Drosophila melanogaster: one gene and its partners. The gene in region 1 interacts genetically with each later gene. Each region holds a gene or a part of one and is shown in the gene's direction. Other genes may lie near its edges.

Evidence for each region.
Region 2: of sky (region 1) and Vps39, changing one suppresses a phenotype caused by changing the other (phenotypic suppression), as found in Drosophila melanogaster (one study listed by BioGRID).
Region 3: of sky (region 1) and Rab5, changing one enhances a phenotype caused by changing the other (phenotypic enhancement), as found in Drosophila melanogaster (one study listed by BioGRID).
Region 4: of sky (region 1) and Rab7, changing one suppresses a phenotype caused by changing the other (phenotypic suppression), as found in Drosophila melanogaster (one study listed by BioGRID).

The regions. Positions count from the first base shown.
Region 1 is NT_033779.5:20,915,899-20,920,518, reverse strand, and holds the start of sky (skywalker), read left to right. Parts: upstream 1-1,587; 5' UTR 1,588-1,720; exon of another isoform or gene 1,721-1,880; intron 1,881-3,057; exon of another isoform or gene 3,058-3,376; 5' UTR 3,377-3,614; intron 3,615-4,620. Other genes in the region: Mtp (microsomal triacylglycerol transfer protein), read left to right, coding at 1-233, 293-833, 901-1,068, 1,127-1,280. UniProt on the Drosophila melanogaster protein: GTPase-activating protein (GAP) for Rab35 which regulates synaptic vesicle (SV) protein recycling and turnover at the neuromuscular junction boutons and possibly ventral nerve cord via endosomal trafficking.
Region 2 is NT_033777.3:18,270,658-18,276,327, reverse strand, and holds Vps39 (vacuolar protein sorting 39), read left to right. Parts: upstream 1-1,881; 5' UTR 1,882-1,974; coding exon 1,975-2,044; intron 2,045-2,096; coding exon 2,097-2,569; intron 2,570-2,630; coding exon 2,631-2,880; intron 2,881-2,938; coding exon 2,939-3,186; intron 3,187-3,241; coding exon 3,242-4,125; intron 4,126-4,179; coding exon 4,180-4,582; intron 4,583-4,645; coding exon 4,646-4,948; 3' UTR 4,949-5,139; downstream 5,140-5,670. Other genes in the region: eIF1A (eukaryotic translation initiation factor 1A), read right to left, coding at 1,187-1,390; CG18599 (uncharacterized protein), read right to left, coding at 5,227-5,670. UniProt on the Drosophila melanogaster protein: Part of the homotypic fusion and vacuole protein sorting (HOPS) tethering complex involved in endo-lysosomal vesicle trafficking and lysosome biogenesis.
Region 3 is NT_033779.5:2,359,272-2,367,168, reverse strand, and holds Rab5 (Rab5), read left to right. Parts: upstream 1-1,895; 5' UTR 1,896-2,108; intron 2,109-2,214; exon of another isoform or gene 2,215-2,332; intron 2,333-2,447; exon of another isoform or gene 2,448-2,856; intron 2,857-3,664; exon of another isoform or gene 3,665-3,764; intron 3,765-4,387; exon of another isoform or gene 4,388-4,494; intron 4,495-5,313; exon of another isoform or gene 5,314-5,430; intron 5,431-5,583; 5' UTR 5,584-5,740; coding exon 5,741-6,009; intron 6,010-6,076; coding exon 6,077-6,197; intron 6,198-6,367; coding exon 6,368-6,536; intron 6,537-6,599; coding exon 6,600-6,700; 3' UTR 6,701-6,713; intron 6,714-6,775; 3' UTR 6,776-7,603; downstream 7,604-7,897. Other genes in the region: Axud1 (AXIN1 up-regulated 1), read right to left, coding at 1-848.
Region 4 is NT_033777.3:23,991,102-23,995,998, forward strand, and holds Rab7 (Rab7), read left to right. Parts: upstream 1-1,906; 5' UTR 1,907-2,039; intron 2,040-2,077; exon of another isoform or gene 2,078-2,175; intron 2,176-2,631; exon of another isoform or gene 2,632-2,718; intron 2,719-2,844; 5' UTR 2,845-2,900; coding exon 2,901-3,080; intron 3,081-3,144; coding exon 3,145-3,501; intron 3,502-3,562; coding exon 3,563-3,649; 3' UTR 3,650-4,351; downstream 4,352-4,897. Other genes in the region: Epp (ecdysteroid phosphate phosphatase), read right to left, coding at 1-154, 673-774, 946-1,141, 1,197-1,437, 1,583-1,695; CG33108 (uncharacterized protein), read left to right, coding at 4,635-4,865. UniProt on the Drosophila melanogaster protein: Small GTPase which cycles between active GTP-bound and inactive GDP-bound states. In its active state, binds to a variety of effector proteins playing a key role in the regulation of endo-lysosomal trafficking.

The DNA.
Region 1 (4,620 bases):
CTCCGCTCGCACTCTGGCTCTTGATATTATCCTGTCCCTCCGGCCAACTCAGGAGCAATTGGGCAACTTCTTGGATTACCTAGCCTCCAATGATCGCCAGTTTGAGATCAAAACATACGTGCTGCAGAAGCTAAGAATGCTGGCTGAGAAGTGCCCGCGATTTAGGGCTTTGTTCAAATCGGAGCTTGTCAAGCGGAGGCATGTAAACAACTACAATGTGCTGGGACAAAAGGGTGAGTACCTAATTTCCTAATGACACTGTTCAAACAATTATGAACTTTAATACTTACAGGTCTTACGACAGTCCTCACCCGTCAGCTTTCCCAGGCTCCAGCCTTCAACGAAACCCTGCTAAGTACCCAGGAAGTGTATCAGGGAATCCTGAAACGTGGCTCCGTGGAATTTCTGCTCCACGCAGGCCGTTCCCAAGCCAGCAGCTTTAAATTGGGCATCTACACTGCCGGCTTGGGCTCGCTGGTAGGCGATGGTGACTCCGGCGATGGAAATGATGCAATCCCGGCGGATGATGAGTTCAGCGAAGACGAAGCGGTCACCGCGGGCATGGAGATCAGTGTGCAGGGTGCTCAATTGCGACCCCTAGTATTCTTCAGCGGTCAGACCGAGCTAATGGGTCACGTGTGGGGAGGAAGTGCCTCGGACTCAACGCCCGCTTACCAGGCAACCACTTTGTCCCAGGATAACGAGCACTACATAATCCTGACCTCCGGGGCGACGCTCCACTGGCGAGTTCTGGGCGCCAGGAGTGTGGATCTCAATGGCAAGGTGGGATTCAGCCTGTGGAATCGAAATGCCCAGACGGAAATCCAGCAGAAGTAAGTGAAAAAGCCAAAGCATTTGATTGGAATGTTATTTAACTCACGATTAACTTTTGGCTTATAGCACTGGCAGCGCTGTTCTTGGTCATTTGGCCGTTGGCTTTACGTATGCGAAATTAGTGCAGGATTTCAGCATCACCCACGAACCAAAGTTGAGTCTGAATGCGGACTTGGACTTCTACAGCGGCATTAAATTGTGCATGCAACTCCAGCGACCTGAACAGCTTCTCAAGTAAGTTTGCTAGAACTATTTTAATGACTCACATGCTAATTGAAAGCCTCCTTCACAGACAAACCAACGTTCGTTCGGTTTTCCTGCAGTCTGTTGATCGTCCTTATGCCAAACATGTGCGCTCTACACTCTCCCACAAAACTGCCGGCTGCACTTTTGCCCTCAACCAAAAAAACAACGAAATGTGCAACCTCATTTTTAGGGACTTGTAGATTCTACTCAAGAGATTATTGGAGATTCCTTGCATAAAAACTATATTTCTATGTGAAAACTCAGAGATTAAGACTCGATATAGTTGTAAACTTAAACGAACAAAGACCATTTAATTTTCAAATGCAACAAGTTTTTAATATCTTTTGAGCAACTCGAAAATTACTGGAAAAGTGGAAATGTGCATTTTTTCTCGATTCACAATAGTCACACCTTAGATTTAAAAATCCCGCCCAAGTGCTGCGAAACGCGAAAGGGGACTTATCGAGCTATCGATTGCAAGAGCTACGCATTCCCATCCCTAAATTCCGCAGTACATTCAAACACTACTACGTTGTGCTTCTTCTTCAAACGCGGCATAAAAGAGGTGCACTCCACAAGCACGAAAAGAAAATAACTACTGCAAAAATATCGTCGAACGCACGAGTCATATTAAATAAAGGTTAATAGAAGCAGGCATCGGAAAAGCTTGATTCCGGAGAAGTGAAACAAATTAGGCCACCGAATGGTGCTCTTCTTCTTTTTGTCGGAATTAGAAGGCTCGTCGCACACACACAGTCGCAAACAAATGCGAAATCAAAAGCGTCATCCGATTGTCTAAAGTAAATACTTCTATTTGCAAGCTGAAAGGCGCGACAAATTAAATAGTTCAAACTTAATAAATCGATATTTGTGTCACCAATTTGCGCGTTTAAATCAAGTGCTAAGCAATGTACTAAAATTAACAATTCCCTTGCCTTTTAAACTCATACAAACACAATTGGAGCGAGAAAGAGATGGGAAAGAAGAAGAATTGTTGTTGTTGACGTGTTCTGTTTGTGCTCATGTGTGCGTGTTCGGGAATTTCTGTTGCGTGAAGTTGCAATACCAAAAAAACCACGTGTGAAATGTTCTGCAATTTTTGTAATTTATTCTGCTGAATTGTTATCACTTTTTAAGAAAACAATCTGTAAGAGGCGTTTGCCTTGGCATCTTATTGGCACAACATTTTAACGCAAATTACTACTCCGTACGAAAGCATTAAGAATCATAAATAAATAAAAAACGAGATCTGAAATCTGAAATATGTATATTGAAGAAAGATCTAGAATATCCAAAACCAGGGGCACAGATGGTGACTATTTTTGTGAACTGCATTGTGATAGGGGTACCTTTTTACCACACACACTTGCGCACTTGCTGCTCTCTCCCTATTCTCCCACTTTTTATAACGGTATCACGCACCCTGCTTATCGGCATTGTGAAAATTTTGTTTGGCTTTAAAGAAATTTCCATTCATAATAATTTTGTGTATTTCAAAAGTTGGTTTATTTGCAAAAATATGTATAAATTCATTTGCTAACATTAGTTTTTTACTTGTATGGTTTGGGTGATGCTCTCTCAAACTTCTTTAAGTCTCACTCGTCCGACATCCAACCGCACAGTGGGAAAGTTCTTAATCCTTTCTGCCATTATTTCAGTGCTTAAAACAGGATTTTTTGTGTGAAAAATCCGAATTCACTGATATAAATACACTAAATTGTTGTTATGTTATGTTTTAGTAAAGTTGGAATTAGCTTGATAAAATCATGATTTTATTATTCTTTAGTTTTTTAATAATGAGATTTTGTAAATTGTTCCTAAACAATAAACAATAATAACTAAAAAAAAAAAACAGTATTTCATGCATACCACTGCACATTAATCCCACTGTTCGTCAAACGTTGGAGAGCGAGCAACGACGAGAGGTTCGCAACCGAAGCAGCAAACGAAAGTCTATTTAAGCAACCCGCAAAAGGCGCTCTTTCGTATTGCCCGATAATTTTTCGACCGCGCTGCTTGTGTTTTCGGTTCCCGCTGAAACAAACATAAAAAAAAGAATATAAAAAATATATATAAAAAAAAATGGATGTAGGGCGAAAATAGTTAAACCACTTTAAATATACGAAATACGCGAATTTCGGAAACTAGAAAATCCATCTTTTAAGGTAGTTTATTTATCCATCTCGCTTTTTCACTCTCCTCTGTGTGCGTGCGTGAGTGTGTGTGTAAAGGCCAAATAGTGCCCTTCGCCTCCCCGGCCACGCCCCCTTGGGCAGAGTAATAAAATGGGAAAGAGAATATATATCTTGCTCCTTTAGAATTTACCTGTGAAAGTGAAAACGTGACAACACGATAAAACGGACGAAGCAAGCAAAACAAAAAACGAGTGCATAAAAACAACGAAGGAGGATAAGAAAAAGAACAAGTGCAGCAAATCAGAAAAAAGAGAACGGAACAAGAACACAGAAAAAAAGTAAAAATAACCAACGAAGAAGGGCAAGGAAAACAAGAACAAAAACATCAGATATTGACAGGTAATAGCAGTCACTCTCCCATCCCTTTTTTTATCGCTCTCTACCCAAGAGAATTTCGAATTTAGTTGCACTATCACCATTTCTATGATTCATTTGTTATTTTGATAATAAATTGCAATTCACGTGGACTAAAGGGTTCAATCATGATATGATTGTTCTTTGTGATTCATTGTGATCATACATTTTATTCAAATTTGTTTTTGCTGAGATCCAACAAAATTGTATAAGTCTTAAAATGCCGTTTTTTAACTTTCATGTGCTCTTTATACCTACATAACTGATTAGATAGACGTTATTTTTCGTTCAACCTTGCACAATTTATGACGGCAGCAAACCACGTTATTCCATGTTGATAGCGAGAAAGAAGTTCAACTTTTTAATGCTGTTTAGTTAGGCATTAAAAATGTTGTAAAAAGCGAGTTCCGTTTTGTTCTTAAATTTACGGTGGATTATGTTGGTCGTTGGCTTTTTTTTTGTCCCATATTTTATGTTTATAGCCTAAATATAAGTTTATTATAAGTTTAATATAAATTTATGGTATATGTAGTGATTTTATACTTTAGTTTGGAATTTATGTGGACTTATGCACAAGTTCAACAGCTACAAATGTGTAACTTCAAAAAACCCCTTCCGTATTTCCCCCAAATAAACATTTTATGTCTTATATCTTCCTAATCATGACTCATCAATAGATAAATATTTTTTGGGTTTGGCAATCTCCGATTGCAAAATAGACGACCTTTGGAGTTATTAATTATAACTCTGTTTGTACTTCAAACATTTGTTTAAGCGATAAATATTCCTCATTGGGTCATATAATTTGTTTAATCTATAACTATAAATACAGTCCTGCTGGCTGAGTTTCAACGAAAAGGCAATGCAATCAGCAAACATTTGCCAAAAATTAAATTTCTCTGCTTGGTTATCTTATCTGCGGGCCAGAGAGCCGCATAAAGGAACACTAAATCGGCAAAACATGAGCCAGGTACTTGCGCATAACTAACTA
Region 2 (5,670 bases), on another chromosome or scaffold:
AGTCTGGAATCTTTTTGGTTGCGTAGTTTCCTTTATAACTTCATGTCTGATTTGTTCGCTCCGATTGGAGTCCACTTCTGGTATTGTATATTTACTTGACACCTACTAGAAATCGAAGACGTCACTAATTACGCCGCGAATCTTGACGCAGTCGATTTGGATGGAATCTTATTTATGACGCCCGTCTCCTGCGGCGTGAAGCACAATCCAAAATTTGACATGTGCTCATTCCCTTCGGAAGAAACGATCTAATCTCTATATGGACGACCGTGACCACGACCAGGGCTAACTCAGGTAGGTGATAAGGAGGAACTACCATTGCGGACGTATGGTATTTCATGGAATGCAGTTTGACCACCCAAATTAGTGCTATAAAGGAGGCTGTATTCGCAATTGAAAACATGTAACTGAATAGCTAATTCAAATGCAAAAGATATACGCAAAATTTTGCGTAAGGTGTACTACCATGAAAAAATTGAAAAAAAAAGTGCGTAGCAAAACTTTTTCACTAGCTTAGTTTCAGAATCGCTGAAGTGAAAACTGACTATATATATCATACTTCTTATGATATATATATATATACTTATATGATATATCATACTTCTATTGTTTAAAATGATATATATTGTATCAATAAAATTAAATTTCATATGGTTTTAAGTAGACAGTAAAGTGAAATTGACTATAACCTCGACAGAATAGTACTTATTTTAAGTATTACGCCTTTTTACATTTCAAATCGAATTATTTGAAAGAATTAAGTATCGGCGGTCACCCTGTATTTGCAGTGCTATTGCTTTGCTTTCATCTACATACATACATCAGTGCATAGGCACTTGCGTATTATTAATCAGCCGCCCCGTCCACACCGCCCACTGCTCTTTTGTTAATGCATTCGCACAAGGACGATGACACCCACTCAATAATGGACCAGTAAAAGAGAATTGCAGAAAAAGAGAGTTGAAAATTAGGTATAGAAAGGTCGAAAGTTAGCAGGGTAATGCAAAATCCCCCAAAATCACAAAAACTGCCTGCATTTCAACAAAAACAATAACGTAAATACGTAGCATTCGCTGGCAATCAATGCCAAAATGGCTTAAGAGAGCCACCTTAGAGAGGGGCACCCACTCAACGCAAGCGAAGAGAGCACAGGCGAAACAAAGAGCGTAGTCAGAGCAGCACTCACCTTCTTGCGAAGTTTCCCCCGAATGTGACACAGGCGTTTGACGCCATCAAAGCACATTGCCTCCAGACGACCGTTGCCCAGCATCTTGGTCACCTGCGCGTACTCCTGTTGGTCCTCCTTGAAGATCAGCTCACGCTTCTCGAACTCGTTCTCGTTCTTACCACGACGACGATTCTTGCCTCCTTTTCCTTTATTCTTGGGCATTTTGGCTGTTTGCTGTTGTTGCTGTGCAGCTACTTTCGATGTTGTTGCTGTCTGCGGGCTTGTTGGCGACCCTGGAGCGGGAACGGGGTAAAACTGTTACTCAACGACTTCACTGGGTGGGTAGTAATGCAATGAAAACATTCAACCCGAAATAAAGCGACAGAGTTGTTTCAAAACTTACAATTTTGTCAAATGTAAATGTGACAATTTCGCCTCGCTAAAGTGAAAAGGACTAGAGGTGGACGGTTTCGCGGGGAACCAGTATATCGAACTGGTGCTATCGACAGCAATGCAGAGTCTGGCAGCATTCGTTTAAAGTATCGTAATTTAAAATTTCACTCAACTTTTTAGTCATTAGCGATTGAATCTTAAATTATAACATGTACAAATTTTATTTTCTACTTTGTATATTTAAGTTATTTCGCTATCACCATAAGAGGAAGAAATCGATTTACCACCGCTAAAGCTATCGATATCTATCATCATCAGCTATCATTAGTGGTACTCCCATCTGGTTTGTTTATAAGCTTTTTTACGAAAATAAATTGAGGCGGAGGAGACCGAAGTTTTTCCACTTGGCCAAGATGCACCAGGCCTACAGTGTTCACTCGATCCTGAAACAGGGCGTGCAGATAGAGTCAATTGCGGCATATGGTGAGTGGAATTTTCGGTGCACAGCTATTACTCACCGGACGCATTTTTTCAGGCAACCATGTCATCTTGGGCACCCGCAGCGGACAGCTGATCATGTACTCTGTGGACGAGGAGACGGGCGTGGACATGCGGATGTTCAACAAGAACTTCAGCCGGAAACCGATCACCCAAATGGAAGTGATTGCCTCGGAGAACCTGCTCTTCGTACTCACCGACTTACAGGTGCAGGTGTGCGACATTCGGCGGATTGAGAGCAACTTCGCTTTCATGCACAGTGCGCCCGACACGAAGGGATGCACCCTGTTCACCATGGACGTGGACACGCCGAAGTCCACAACCGGACGTGTGGCCACCGTCATACGGGTGTGCTGCGCTATCCGGCGGCGTCTTGTGTTCTTCTTTTGGAAGGAGGACAAGCTTAATTCCCTGGAATTGATCATCGAGCTCAGCGATGTGCCCAGGACACTGTGCTGGGTGGGCCATGCTGTCTGCGTGGGCTTCAAAGACGAATATGTTGTTTACGATGTGAGAAATGCTTTAAAGTCGATTTACTTCGTATTTTAAAGGTCTGCATATCCAATTCTAGATATCAGGAAAAGCACCAAAGAAGCACAACCTCTTCCTTACCTCCTCTAGTATCAGCAGAGATCCCTGCATTTGCCTTATCCGGAACAACATGTTGGGCATCTCTAAGGACAGCTACCTCGTCGTAGTAGATCCGAGTCAGTACAAAGAATCGGATGGAATCAATAACTCAACAGATGTCCGGCCAGCTGCCATGGACAGCAATAGTTCCCTAACTCCTCTGCTCTGGTCAAGTCCGCTTTTAGATCTGGGTACGATACTCACTATTCACTTCAAGCCAATTTCTAAATCACATTATCTTCATTACAGTCTGGGATGAGCCATTCGCTGTGGGTCGTGTCAACAACGCCATCGAGGTGCGCAGCCTAGTGGGCAAGGACACCCTGGTCCAGACCATTCCCGAGCTACAGAAGACGAAATTCCTGGTTCACGCCGACAAGGGAACCATCTTTGCCGCCGCCACCTCCGAGCTTTGGTGCATTCGAATGGTGGAAATCCCTATCCAGCGTCAGCAGTTGCTACAGCAAAAGAAATTCCAACTGGCTATTGAGCTGACGGTGAGTCCGATAAACGAAATCAAAATACGACGACTACAACAAACTTTATGTTCAGCAAATCTCCGATGAACCTGCCGCGGACCGAGCCCAAACCATTCGCCAGATACACATGCTCTATGCGAAAGAGCTGTTTACCAATAAGGAGTTCTCGGCGGCCATGAAGGAGTTTGAAAAGGCGGCTATAGATCCCTACGATGTGATAAGACTGTTCCCAAACTTGGTGCCAGAACCAAAGCCCGGCACCGAAGATGTCACCGTGCCTACGTCCAGTACTCCGGCGCTTGAGGATAGCGACCTGGAGAACGCCTACTTGGCACTGATCGAGTATCTGGCATGGGCCCGACAGCGGGAGGTGGTCAAGCTGCGCGACACTAAAAGTAGTTCAAAGTCCCTGCTGGAGATCATCGATACAACGTTGCTGAAGTGTTACCTGCAGACAAACGACTCTCTGGTGGCACCACTGCTACGCCTAAACCAGTGCCACTTAGAGGAGTCGGAAAAGACGTTGAAGAAGCACAACAAGATCTCTGAACTTATCATCCTCTACCAGATGAAGGGCAAGCACAAGGAGGCCCTTAAACTGCTTCGAGAGCAGGCGAGCATCGAAGGATCTGTGCTGCAGGGTCGCAAGCGTACCATACGCTATCTTCAGGAGCTGGGTGGTGATCATCTGCCGCTGATCTTTGAGTTCGCTGACTGGGTCTTAAACGATAATCCCGAGGAAGGCCTAACCATTTTCACCGACGAACTTATTGAAGTGGAATCCCTGCCGCGCGCCAAAGTTCTTGATTTTTTTATTAGCAAGCACAAAGCACTTGTCATTCCCTATTTGGAGCACGTAATCACTGAATGGAAGGACGGCAACACCCTGCTCCACAATGTGCTCCTCAAGCAGTATCGCGAAAAGGTGCAACGGCTTCTTGCTCAGCAGGAAAAAGGGTGAGAGTCTGTCATTGTACTGGATCAAAATGCTTATACTCACCTGTTTTCTAGAGAGGAAGTTCCCGAACTCATTCCGATGCGAGCCAAGCTCTACAAGATGTTGGAGGAGTCCAACGACTATTCGCCGGATCGCCTCCTAGAGGAATTTCCAACCAATATACTCTTGGAGGAGCGTGCCCTAATCCTGGGCAGGCTCAAAAAGCACGACAACGTCCTGTCCATCTATATTCATGTTCTCGGAGATGTGGCCAAGGCAACGGCCTATGCGGAAGCCCATTACAAAGAGGACAAGCACATATTTCACACGCTCATTAAGTGCATATTAATACCACCAACTCAACCGCTCTATGATGGTGTGCCCTTGCATCCGGATTTCTCGCAAGTGAATCGAGAGGTGGCCCTGGAAATACTTAACACCCACGCCACCAGAATCGATCCATTCGAGATCTTCGAGGTGAAGAATGCATTGAATGCATGACTTATTAGAAATATTTCTCAACCATTTTGGATTTTGCAGCACCTTCCCGATGACATGCCCATGCCCCAGCTGGAGAAATACTTGGAGAAATCTATACGTAAAATGATGGCCGACAAGCACGAGATGCAGATGATGTGCGGCTTCCTGGAGGCAGAGTCCACGCGCCTGGAGAATGCCTTGGAGGAGCAGCGAAACATTAGCTTCGAGTTAAACGAGTCTAGTGTGTGTTCCGAGTGCAAGAAGCGTTTTCAAACCCAGTCCGCCTTCGTGCGCTATCCAAATGGGCACATCGTGCACCTATCCTGCCACGATCGGCTCGCCAGGGCGGCTGCTCAGCAATAAGTGAAATACTCCAATGTGATAACTGATCAAGGTATAAAGTGCGAATTGAGTGTAAATGTCTGTATTATTCTGTTTTTAAATAAGCTTTTTCAGTACTCGTATGTAATGGATATACTGCAATGCTTATACAATATAATATAGTTTGCATTGATTGATTGTAACAATCAACTTGCAGCTAATCATCAACAATTAAAGACAAGCAGAAGTATAGAAAACCGATATTGTACATATTTATTTGACTATATTTACAGGAAACTTGCTTTGCACTGGCGTGGTTTTTAGGCCTCCTCGCTGCCGTCCATGAGGCTGTCGCCGTCCAGGGAATCGTTACAGATGGACAAATCCGACTCGGACTGCGCTCGACTCAACGGCGGTAATGCGCCCGAAAGCGACAGCGAGTGCTTGCTATCCTCGTTGTCCTCCTCCTGCAGGCTGGGCGAGGCTGCACTGCATCCGTTTGTGCGTTCCGTGGACACAGAATGGGCCGCATTGGCCGACACGGATACTTGATTGCCCAATAACGATGTACCTGGCAGTTGAGTTTGCCTTATCAATGCCAGCCGTTGTTGTGTCAGTTCCAAGTGGTGCTTGCGCCACTTGATCCGCCTATTCTGGAACCACACCTTCACCTGAGCCTCCGTTAACTTTAGGGTGTGTGCCAAGTAGAGCCGCTCCGGGCCGACCATGTACTGCTGGCGCTCGAACTCCGCCTCCAGGCACTC
Region 3 (7,897 bases), about 19 Mb from region 1:
ATAGCATCGCTTTCCGAATCTTCGAGTCTCCGTTTAAGGTTGGACCTTATGGGCTTCGTTTCCACCTTTTTCTGGATTTCCGGCTCGGCTTCTTTCTCCGCCTGATCCTTGAGTAACGCGGAGGTTTCACTTCCTAAACCAGAATCAGACCCACCATCTCTAAGCTCATCCTCTTTCGGTTTGGCTGGCTGGGCAGGCTCCAATGATGCTTGGTTGTTGGACACCACCTCCGCTGATCTGGTGGCCATTTCCGTCTCATTGTTCAACTTCAGCCAAAGAAGTTCTCCACTGGTGTCGACCTCCTCGTTTGTGGTGACCGACGCGGAGTCAAGAATGTTGTCAATTGCCAGTGGGTCCTCGGAGACTGCGTCGGAAGCTATTGAAGAGTTAAGATCCGCATCGCCTAGTACGATTATCTCATTATTAGGATAGTTCTCCAGCTCAAGGAACTGCTCCTCTAGTTCGGTGTCCGCCGGGCCGTGAGCAAAGTCCGCCAGTTCATCATCGAGCTGCTCAAGCGGCATGGGTAGGGAAGCCAACGCCTTGGCTTTCGCTGCGTGCACCTTGCTGGCGTCAATTATGGAGGTTTTGATCTGCCTCTCGATGTCGTCGTCGTCATCGTCCAGGTGGGGAAATATTTGCAGCTGATGCTGCCGCTCCTCCGGTTCGCTCTGATTATCCTTGTGATCCAGATGCCGCTGATCCTTCCTTTCGCCTTCGTCGTGGGCAGTTAGGCTGGTGGTCCCCTCCCTTTGGCCGGCGGCCTTGTTTCCTGATGGGCTAAACATATTGGAGCCGCTCGCATTTTTTTGTATGTACGTAAATATTTTTTTTATAGGACTAAACATGCTATCCGTGTCGAGGTCCCTAGATCATTGAGTGTCCTTTGGTCATCTGCAAGAAAGTAGGAGGAAATGGTTTTACATAATGTTGCTTGGAAATTTCCTTCGCAGGTAGCGAAAACGTATAGATCAGGTGTGTATGTACAGTGTCCATTCGAGAGGGAGAACTGCCGGGAATGCGAAACTTTATTTCTGAGTAAATTAATTACACCTGTTTACGTTTCGTAAGAGCCCCTGACCAGGTCCTAGATCCAACAAACAAATTGCCAAAAGCCTAATGAGTGTACCTTTTACAACTTGTGTAAATATTTAGAAATATTAATTTAGCTCAAGTATTAATTTTACTGCTCGCAAGAAATCAATTGTTTTCTGTGTACGTGTAATGGTTTAAAAATATATATCTTTCGCTTTAATGTTCCGCTCACTTGTATGTTCGCTTTTTCGAATGAGCACTGTGCTTGGATGGGTGTGCGTGTGCAGAATCCTTTGAAATCCTGGATCCCCGAGAATTTCGCACGCTAGAAAGGAGACCACCCGAAAAGTAGACATACCGCTAACCAAAATCAATATTGATTAGCTTCTTTTTTTGGGGGCCCACCTTTGCGCTTATATTTTCGCAGCCAAGCCAACGGCCGGACTCGCAAGATCGGTGGGATTTATCCTTTTTGCAATTTGCGTTGCAGCTGCGATAAAAAACTGAGAGCGAGAGAGATGACGAAAGACGCAACTGTGTGCGTGTGTTTGTGCAAGTCTGTGCGAGTGTGTGCGTGAAGGAGGCGAATCAGGACACAAAGGTCGGTATTCTTTTATTAACACAATCACTTTACTATGCGCCTGGCAACGCCCAAAATTATGATTTATTTTTTAAAACTCATTTCGCACTTCCGTAAACTTTTTCTTAATTTTTCACTTCTTCTTTTCTCGCAATGTTATTACTTCTTCTATTCAGTGTGCCCGTCGCTGGACCCCTGCAACATGACAACAGTCCTGCACCGATCCAAATGTACTTAAAAATACCAGGCAAAAATTGATAAAAGTGTATACGATAGAGCGTGATAGATAAATGTGACTCACTAGTAGATGGTGCGTGTATTTGCTAAGAAATAATTCAGAAGAAAAATTAAAACAAATTCACCAATGGAGCCGGTTCCTGCAAGCTCATTGATTACATAAATTCATAGTAAGACAATTATTATGTAAAATATACCCGTTTTACGATTCATTAGTTGACTCGTGCAGCAAAGAAATATGTTTTGTATATTCACGGTAAGAAATGTTTATATTAAAATTTTATTTATATTGTGTAATATGTTGGTCCCACTAATCGATAGAAATATGTATCGTTGGTTGGAGCCTCTGCTAACGAGCAGAGCTTAGGATATGTTTGGCATATTCCAACAGTCGTCCTGCGGTCACACATAAAATTCCAAGAAAGTTGTAAGTTAAGTTTACTAATAAACCAGGCGATAATTTCGCTAGCCATTAGCAAGGCAAGGAAGCTAAAAAAGACAAAAATCTTTGGCAAATCAATGGTGACGTCGCCCAGGAAGTTAATCGACAAAAACACGACCTGCGACGCGACGATAATTTTGCGAGAGGCGAGTCAGTCGCTATCTATCTCCCTCTGCGCTCGTTTCGTTTCGTTTCTTGGGGCTGTTTTGGGGCACACAATTGAAAGGAAAAAACGTAAATGCAAATGGTCAACTGGTCTCCAAGTGCCGCGTTTAGAAGAGTGCGTAATTCGGCGGAAAGTCGAGTGCTTTTGCGTTGTTGTTTTCGCTCACCCCTCGTAATTAATTAAGAAAGTTGTGTAAAATTTTTTCGCCCCGTCCGCCATAGTGCGAGTGTAAGAGCGAGCGCGATAGATGGCCCTGAATTTTGGGTGCGTTGCCCATGAGAGTGGGCGCTAGAGCGAGACGGCCGTACGACCTGCTCCAAGTGCAGCGTGCACAGTGGGTCGCAAGGCCTAAGATAGTTCACGAATCTAATTGTGAAGAGATAAAGAACACTGCAGGTGCACTCTGGTATGGAGTAAAGCTGGCAAAATCGGATCTTGGCCCGCATTATCACCCAATTTATCAGCGCTTTACACGCCAAAACGGATCAAAAATCGCGGTTCTTTGTTCCGCCTGTTTTGCGTCTTTAGTTATGAGAGAGAGTGTGGGTGTGTGGTGTGTGTGTATTTATCGGCAATCCGTTCCCTTATCGTGCAAGTTTCTCAAAGAACTGTCTTTGTCTCTGATGTTTCTATAAAGCCCAAATGTAAACAAAAACGCATCCTTCTATTTGTTTATTCTAGACCTTTTCGCTCGCTTTGCAAATGGAAGACCCGCATTTGTCAAGCTATACATATTTACGGAGTGATGTGTGGTGTGACAGTAAATATAACGCTAATTGTATTCTCCGTTTTCTAGACGTGCTTCAAATATGCGTGCTGAGAAAATTGCACTTGTTGACTTTTCGAGTGAGGCAATTCCACAGTCAAGCTCACGTGAATAGGGCCATGTTGATATAATGAAAATGTTTTAAGTTTCCAAAGGTGGATTTAAAACTTAATTCATGCTTAAAATTAAGCACAAGCTATGTGGACGTTCTTCTTTATTTCATATTTATATTAAATATCTTTAAAATCTAACATAAGATTTGTAACTTAATTCCACGTATTACAGCTATTTGATTGATAAAGGCTGTGGCTACGTATGGTTGTTGTTCTCGCTCTCATTCTCTTTTTTGATTCACTTGCATTTGTATTAGTCGCGTGAATGACGCATCGTCAGCTGTTCTAAAAGAACCGTAATTTCCTGAACGTTGTTTTATATTTTATTGAATTTTCCGCAGACGGGCGCGAAAGTCACTCCTGTTGTCCAAGTGACTTTAAAGTTTAATAAACCGCATTAATTACGGTTCGAATTAAAATTAGCGGTGAGTTATTTACTGACAGCTGTCCGCTTCTCAAGGAAAATTTTGCATTGGCTTAGTGAGACACACTGCTTGTTTTAATTAAATTTAAAGTGCAGTTTTCGTTTTGGCTTAGACGCAAAAAACAGCAAAATACGTCATTCGCTGGATAATGAAAAGTAATTGTAGGCGAAATTTCTTTATCGCAATGAGAGTGCGGTTTTCGAAAAGAGAGACCAAGTTGTCGGCTTCTGTATGTGTGTGTGACTGTGCACTTGGCTCCAAAGTCTCCGGGAAAAAAACAATTGAATGATCGGAAGGGAGGGGGAGAAACAAACAATTGTTGACTGACTGCATTTTTAATGGCAAAGAGAGGGCCTGCATATTTCGCTCTCTCCCTCATTCCTTGTTAATTTAATAACGCCGCACAGCGTACATGTTTGTCACGCTTTTACTTTCTCCACGTCTCCCCGTTAATTTATTTTGCATTGATTTTTATCACAGCTTCCGCCCTCACTCTGTGAATTCTCTTCGCTCTGCGCTCACTTCTCTCCACAAAGTAAACAAGACTCGTGTAGAATTCCATACCCCGATCTTCGTAGATTTATCTCCACTGTACAGTCTGGCTTCAATGTGTTAATTAATTTCTGTCGGAATTCTGAGATTCCCGTCGTCGGTCATAAAAACGAAAAGCATGTGAACGATACTTTGTGAAGATTTGAAAACGACTTTAGCTTAGTTAATATATGCAACAGTAAATATTTTTAAACAATTTTAATGATTACTCTCTGTTTAAAACGATATCTTGTTTCGGGATCAACGTATCTGTGGGACATCGGTAAAAGTGTAGTGGCCAATGGGGCGTATGATTCATAAAAGTGGCACTGATAACAAAAATACTGTGAATGCCACACGCATTACCGCTGAATAATGCGAGGCGTCCTCTGTGTTATGTACTATTATACACATATGTACACAAATTCACCCGCCCTCGAAATATTTTCCACCAGAAAGTGTGTGAATTATCAATTGCGCGGTAGCCCCTAGAGGAGCTGCAATAAATATCTTTTACGATAACTTAGATTTCCCGCACAAGGGACCGATAAGAATGTTGTAGTTTCGATTACTTGTAAACCCCTTATCTGCCACGAAGAAAGGGAAAAACAATAATTGCGCCTAGAAAGCGCATATAAGGTTTCCCCTTTGTGTTTGCCAAAGTATTTTTAGTTGTTGATGGATTTGTATTTGCACATGTAATTAAGAATGTTTGTGTTTGTGGATGTTTGAAGCAGTCACGCAAGGAATTTTCTAAACACAACTCATAACATTGAACATCTAATCGTGGAACAATTGCTTTCACTGATTTTCCTATCACAAGCTTATCAGTACTATTATGTTGCCAAGTGACACAAATAGTAATGATATGTTTTCGGATGTGTAACACTTATAAATATAAATATAAATAAACTAATATAAGCTCTAATGTGAGTTTTTGTAGGGCGTACTGCTTTCAATTTCAATTGAATTTATCAGTGACCATTGGCAGACGCTTCCCTTTTCCTCTGTTTCATTTACTGATGGAAAACGTCGGCTTTTTGTGCATATTCTCGGATATGTACATATTGAACTGGGCTTGTCGACGGCGTCATTAAACAAACAAAGGCGCCACACAATCATCTGATGGTTTTATGTGGGTTTTATATTCATCCACATGGGCAGCATGTTTTCAAGGGGACTGAGTTTAAGCCCTAAAAACGTACCATTATGGCAGAAGAATTGGAAGCACTCAATTTCGTTTTTATCCGTCTCCATTATAAATATGTACATTATTTGTATTTTGCAGATTCCGCATCCACACTCAGCAGCAATCTTAGCAGAAAGACTTACTCAGCAGAAGAGGGAGTGAGTTGCAGTAACCGTCCGTAGAACCAAATATCAGTTGCCATCTCAGAGGAGGAAGAGCGCATCCACATTCGCATCCGATCCAACCCGAACCGATCATGGCAACCACTCCACGCAGCGGCGGTGCCAGCGGCACTGGAACGGCGCAGCGGCCCAATGGCACCTCGCAGAACAAAAGCTGCCAATTCAAGTTGGTGCTCCTCGGCGAGTCCGCTGTGGGCAAGTCCTCACTGGTGCTGCGCTTCGTCAAGGGACAGTTCCACGAGTACCAGGAGAGCACGATAGGTGCGGCCTTTCTGACACAGACTATTTGCATAGAGGACACTGTCGTTAAGTTCGAGATCTGGGACACGGCTGGCCAGGAGCGGTAAGTATCGCTGGATAGATCACCCAACTGAAAGCTTCATCTGACATACTTATATTCGCTTTTGTAGGTACCACAGCTTAGCTCCCATGTATTATCGAGGAGCGCAGGCCGCTATTGTCGTCTATGATATACAGAATCAGGACAGTTTTCAGCGTGCGAAGACCTGGGTCAAGGAACTGCATAAACAAGTGAGTGTCAGCGGGGAAACTTGAATATCGTGCAGAGTGTTTTAATATTATAATCATTTATATTATTGCTCATGAAGTGCCTCAGTTCAATATTCTTAACTCGAGAAATTCGTTCACTTGATACGTAAATTATATTACATAAAATATGTATTAATAAAACTTTTTTCCAGGCCTCACCAAACATTGTCATTGCGCTGGCCGGCAACAAGGCAGATTTGTCAAACATTCGCGTCGTAGAGTTCGATGAAGCGAAGCAATATGCCGAGGAGAACGGGCTGCTGTTCATGGAAACCTCCGCCAAGACGGGCATGAATGTGAACGACATCTTCTTGGCCATTGGTAAGCTATAAGGAGCCGTCGTAAACGCTTCGAAAACTTTGCTAATCACTACCCCAACCACAGCCAAGAAACTACCTAAGAACGATGGCGCCAACAATCAGGGAACCAGCATAAGGCCGACTGGAACCGAAACAAATCGACCGACGAACAACTGCTGCAAGTGATGTCCCTTCGTAGGTAAGTTAATTGCGTTGGAAATACGGTTGCATTACTAACACAGTTTTTTTTTGGCTTTACAGAAAATGAAATTTCCAACGAGAGATTTGAAAAGTTTATGCTGATAATTATAAATAAAAAAATTATTTAAAAATTCAACAGAATCAGAAAGAAATACCTAAAGCCGGCTCTCGCAGGGGACGAATTTCATTTGAGAGCCACGAAACCAATAATGATAAAGACCACATAAGAATTATAAGCATTAAACAAAGGAGCTCCCATTCCCAACATAAACGAAAGTTGCAATTAAAGAAAGTTAGTTACAAATTCCCACACCCGATTTCCCCCATTACGCTCGATATCTGTCCAAAAAATATACAAGCAAACTGACACTCACGCAATTGAGCTAAAATATCAGTATAATTCCAACATAAACCATTTCAAATAACAACGCAAATTAATAATGAAAACTAAACATGAGAAGAAAGCGCAGGGTTTTTGGAGATTTCATCGTGTCGTAGAAAGTTTGAAATCGTATTGTATAAAAAAAAGAGAGAAACCCCGAAACCAACTAAGCGAGCAAAGAATATTTGTAAAGATTACATGTCGTGTAAGATTCTGAGCATTAAGTAAGGGGCAGATTCCAGTTGCAGTTGTTCTCAGCAGCGTTCCAAATAAAACAAACAAAACAAACAAACACCACAAGGAGCAAATGTTCAGGCCAGCGGCTGAAGATCCTCGCTCGCCTCGGTTTGTGGCAATGTGTGTGTCTCTACGGCTCCGGAGCTCGGACTCCAGATCCGGATACGGACGCGGATGATTCGACTCCGGGTCGCGGCGGACACGTGTGATAGTTGCAATTTATATAAATTATATATACACATATGAAAATGAAGGAAAACGAAAACCACAAAAAAAAAAAGAAAACCAATTATGCATACTTTTAGATTTTTTTATTTTTCAATTTCGCCTTGCGTTGAACTATTTTCCACATTCTAGCAACAATCGAAGATTTAATGCTACTATCTTTAAACGTAAACGAGAACGGAGATACTATCGTAATCCATAAAAATTAAACTTACATCTAGTATGCAATTAAGCGGAGAGGAAGTAAAGTGAATTAAAATAAATAAATAAAACAAATCGAACAACACAATACCGTAAACAACTTGTTTAAATCGTTCCACAAACATCAAAGATCCGAT
Region 4 (4,897 bases), on another chromosome or scaffold:
CGAGGATCGCGGGAATATAGACGAAGTTCCCAATTGGAAGCGCAGCTGGCGTCTAAGGTCTCCACGAGTGCTTTCAGTGCATTAAACTGTGCCTGCGGGAACTGGTAGGCAAGCGTCAGGTGCAGGCTCTTAACGTGTGGCTCGAGTGAGATGGCTACAGGTAGTTAGAAGCTATTAGTAGCCTTTCGCTAGGCGGAACAAACGATTACTGAATGGAAATGAAGGCGGTGCTGGTTATATGCTTTCGTATCTAACACGGTGAATCGATGTTTTTCGATAAGGAATTATAGTCACTTAAAGTTATCTTTGGGCAAAACCAAACGTCACGGGCTTATCAACTACAGTTCTGGTCTTCTAATAATCAAAGATTTTTTGTATATATAGTGACACTAATCGGTTTTAATAATAAACTGAAATATTTTTCAAACAAATGAAACGGGGTATAAACAAATTAACTATGTAGCTACCAAAAACATCGATCACCTTGCTATCTACAGTTACTACTAATTAACTACAATTAGCAGCGTCATGTTGAATTTCGCCAAAAGGGCGATTAGATTAGTAACTTATCTACCAGTGCAACTAAAGCATGCATAGAGTGATAAGAAAGTGTACTTTTGGGTGAATCAAAAACGATTTTATGCAAACTAATGGCTCTAGCTAATGGCTTACATCGACTGCTGCGCGGAATGCAGCGGGTGCCCGAGGAGACAGCACCGCACCAGGGAAAGCAGGCCACAATGGCGTCCAACTGCTCATAGGTATCGCTAATGACTGTGCAGCATATCCCAGATTATCCAGAAGTGTGCAGGAAGAGAGGAGAACAACATAACCGTGTAAGCCACTCCGAAAAATGGAAAACCATCAACCGAATCGAACAGAACGTGAGAAAGGTAAACCAAAACAACCCAAAGAGAGTGCAACCAACAGAAGGATAATTCGTACTTGAGTTGGACACCTCCTTCACGTACTGCAGGGCCAGTCGTTTCAGATAGTTGGCATCCTCCTCGGCCACGAAAAAACCCATGAAGTTTTGACTCATGTAGGGCTCCAGTTTAAGGGGGCGATCCAACAAGGCGCCCGTCATGTCCACCACCTGTTTGAGCGCCTTGGACAGCTGCAGCGAGCACTCATCGGGGGCCTGTAATTTCGATTAGGTGAATAAATAAAGTCTGGATAATCCAACTTAAGCTCACTTTAAAAAACGAAACCAGGGTTATGTGAGGCACGTAGTTGTGTGCTCCATTCCAACCGCACATTTGGCGCGACTTGGCCCAGAACTCCTCCAGCTGCTGCAGAAACGGACCCGTGGGACAAGCATATATAATATATTCCCTGGGGGCGCACTCGTCCAGGGTGCCATCGTTGACATGTGCCAGCAACCAATCCGAGGCAATCTGGACACCACGATTACCAGTTGAAGCCAAAGCTTTCTCCCTGTGTAGGGGTAAGCAAAAAAATCAATACTCTGATTCTATGAAACAAATCAACATAGTGGGTCACTCGCACGCATAGCCACTATATCTTGGATGGAACCTAGAGCAGCTGGTGACTGCCAATACGCTATGCATAGAAAACTCACGCTCTATGCCTGGGAAACCCCATTTGGAGCAATGTTTGGAGCGGCGTCAGATGCTGCTTAGAGATGCAGATCCTCGTAGGGGTCTGACTCTTACGCGGCGGAAGCGTGGCCATTTCGATTATAGCCTCCTATGTAAGCCCAGGTGACCACCGTTTAGCAGCTTTTGGTTTTTCCTGGCTGTTCAATATTTTTCAGTGATAATTTCAACAAAAATAGGATACAATTCGTTAATTGGCCACAAAAAAGTGTTGGCTAACGACAGCCTAAAGATAGTCAACTTCTACCGATAGCTGTAACACGACTGCACTATCGATAACCAGTACTGACCAGTAGAGATGAGAGCGATTCTCCTAGCGAGACAACAACAAAATTCACTGCGTAATTAATTGAATATTTTTTAGTAAAACCGAAGCGCCCCACAAAGAAACAGCTCTTGGAGTGTTCACCAGTGTTCAAAGTGAGTGCCACTACAAAAGGAATTAGGCGAATAGCAAAAGCAAAGCGTTAAAAAGAGTGTTACGCAGCAGGCGAAAAGTGCATGGAAAATGCCAGTGGAGCCCCACATCAAACATACACACGCACACTCGAAAAACGTACACAACAAAGACCCACGCACACCGACGCAATTAGTGGCGTAGTTGTAATGGTGGAGCACAAAAACAAGTTGTTCATGGTCTAAAAAAGGGGGGCGGGGAGTTTATCTCCCTTTGGAGAGTCCACTTTCGCACTATTTTCGATTGCACCATAGTGACTCCCCCTGCCATCGAGGACTTTGAGGAAATGGGCGTTTTCCCAGGCACTTTTCCTGGTATTCCAGACCCGCTTTATTAGCTCGACCTCGTCTTTGTCTGTACTCAGCGCACTTTCTCCGCTGCGCCAATAGTGATCACGCTTTATCGCCTCGATGCGGGCACCTCCCTCCCCTACTGACCGCCTGTTCACACAGTCCAGCGATCACACACTGCGGATTGCTCAGAGTGACTCACCCGATTTGTTTATCACCCAGCACGGCGTAGCACAACTGCTCGTCATTACAAACATTTTACAGCTGCGAATGGCTTGCACTTCGAGCACTTAGGCAGTCAGGTCCTGGCAGAGATTACGGCTTTCATTGGCATGTAGTTTAGACTCTAGAGGTTTGCGCAGTTCACTTTCATTTATCTTAGGAAAGAAACCATCACACCCCTACACTTCCTAATCGAATTAGAGGAAACCGCAATGGTATTTTTAACACACAATCAATAATATTCTGTGGTTTTCAGCACCAAATACCAAAAGAAATAACCCCGAGTAAGCCAACGCCACAAACTGCATCGAAATGTCCGGACGTAAGAAATCCCTACTGAAAGTCATCATTCTGGGCGACAGCAGTGTGGGCAAGACCTCTCTGATGAATCAGTATGTAAACAAACGCTTCTCCAACCAATACAAAGCCACGATCGGAGCTGATTTCTGCACGAAAGAGGTGGTGGTCAACGACCGAGTGGTCACAATGCAGGTAAGCACTATGAACTTCCAGTAATCCTATTTCAGTGACATAACTCGCAAAATTTCAATAACAGATCTGGGACACTGCTGGTCAGGAACGCTTCCAGTCGCTTGGAGTGGCGTTTTACCGCGGAGCCGACTGCTGCGTGCTTGTCTACGATGTGACGGCGCCCAACTCGTTCAAGAATCTCGACTCCTGGCGCGACGAGTTCCTCATACAGGCCAGTCCACGGGATCCCGATCACTTCCCCTTCGTTGTGTTGGGCAATAAGGTGGATTTGGACAACCGCCAGGTGTCCACGCGTCGAGCGCAGCAATGGTGCCAATCTAAGAACGATATACCCTACTACGAAACGTCCGCCAAGGAGGGCATCAACGTGGAGATGGCGTTTCAAGTTATAGCCAAGAATGCGTTAGAGTTGGAGGCGGAGGTAAGAAATCCTATTTAAATATTGTTTTCCATACTAAATCGAACTTTGTACTTTCACACAGGCTGAAGTTATCAACGATTTCCCCGATCAGATTACCTTGGGCTCGCAAAACAATCGTCCTGGCAATCCTGACAACTGTCAGTGCTAATGTAACAACAACGCAAAATGGATAATTACACAATCTATATTATTAAATAATATTTCCAACATAATAATGAACATGAGAAGCAAGCAACACAAAGGACGATAGAGGAAGGTGTTATATGATTAAGTAAAACAATTTCAGCAAAACAGCATAGTAATTAATTAACTGATAGGATGCAAAGTTCAGATTCAGATCAACATCAGCTGAGTCTTAACGAGCCTCTGGCAAAGGCTTAACCAGTATACCCACTTTCCTACGACCTAAGTAACCGTTCAATGAATAAGTATGCTCTGTGTACTCGTATTTAATAATTCATGTTTCTGACCGACCGCCCGCCTATCTCCCTAGTACTATTTTTGCCATTGTATTAGTCAAATTTTGCACGCAACCGCTGCTGGCTTTTGCAACAGAACAGCAACATTGAGAATACAACATCAGAGTATCTTCTAAACAAACAAAAAATCTTGTGATTGTAAATTTAATAAAAGAATAACTTTTTAAATGTAATTTACAGACATAATTTCCTGCACCATCGAATTGGCTACTCTATTGTAATTGGCTGAGCTCCACAAAACTTCTTTATGCATAACATTCGAGCGTGAATTTGGTTTAGTTATAACGTTACTCGATATATCCTATAACTATGAATAGTATTCCATGTAAAATTGCTCCTTGTTTTTGGTAATACATATATGTAAATTGTGTATATTTCGAATTTATTTTTTTCCAAAGATTCATTTTATGAATTCTCATGCTCTTTGGTTTAATTTAAAGAATAAACTTGAACAATTTACAATAAAAGTCAAATAAGCTTATTTTGATATTTTTATGTGGGCTTAATTTACTTTGTGCCCACTGTAGAACAGATGCAACCAGGTGAACACAGAATATCGCTTATCGATAACTCAGCCCTGTTAATATTTGTCTGCGAAAACAGCTGTGGCTATTGTCTGTTAACTCGCTTAGTCTATTTATTTAACTAAATACCATGTCGAATATTTCAAGTGTGGCACCACCTCCTCCCCCACCACCCATGATAGTCACTCCTAGCACACCTGCTACCACAAAGGAACGTCCAGTTGGGGACAATATAACCACCGATGAGTGCACTTGGGCATGTGAGTATCCTGAGGTGCAGAAAGGATGCTATTTAAGTCGCGTCTGCCAATATACACCACCGAAACACTGTCAATACTACTCCGTAAACAGCATAGTGCAGGTGAGTTAGAAAACAATAAAGATTTCTCAGTT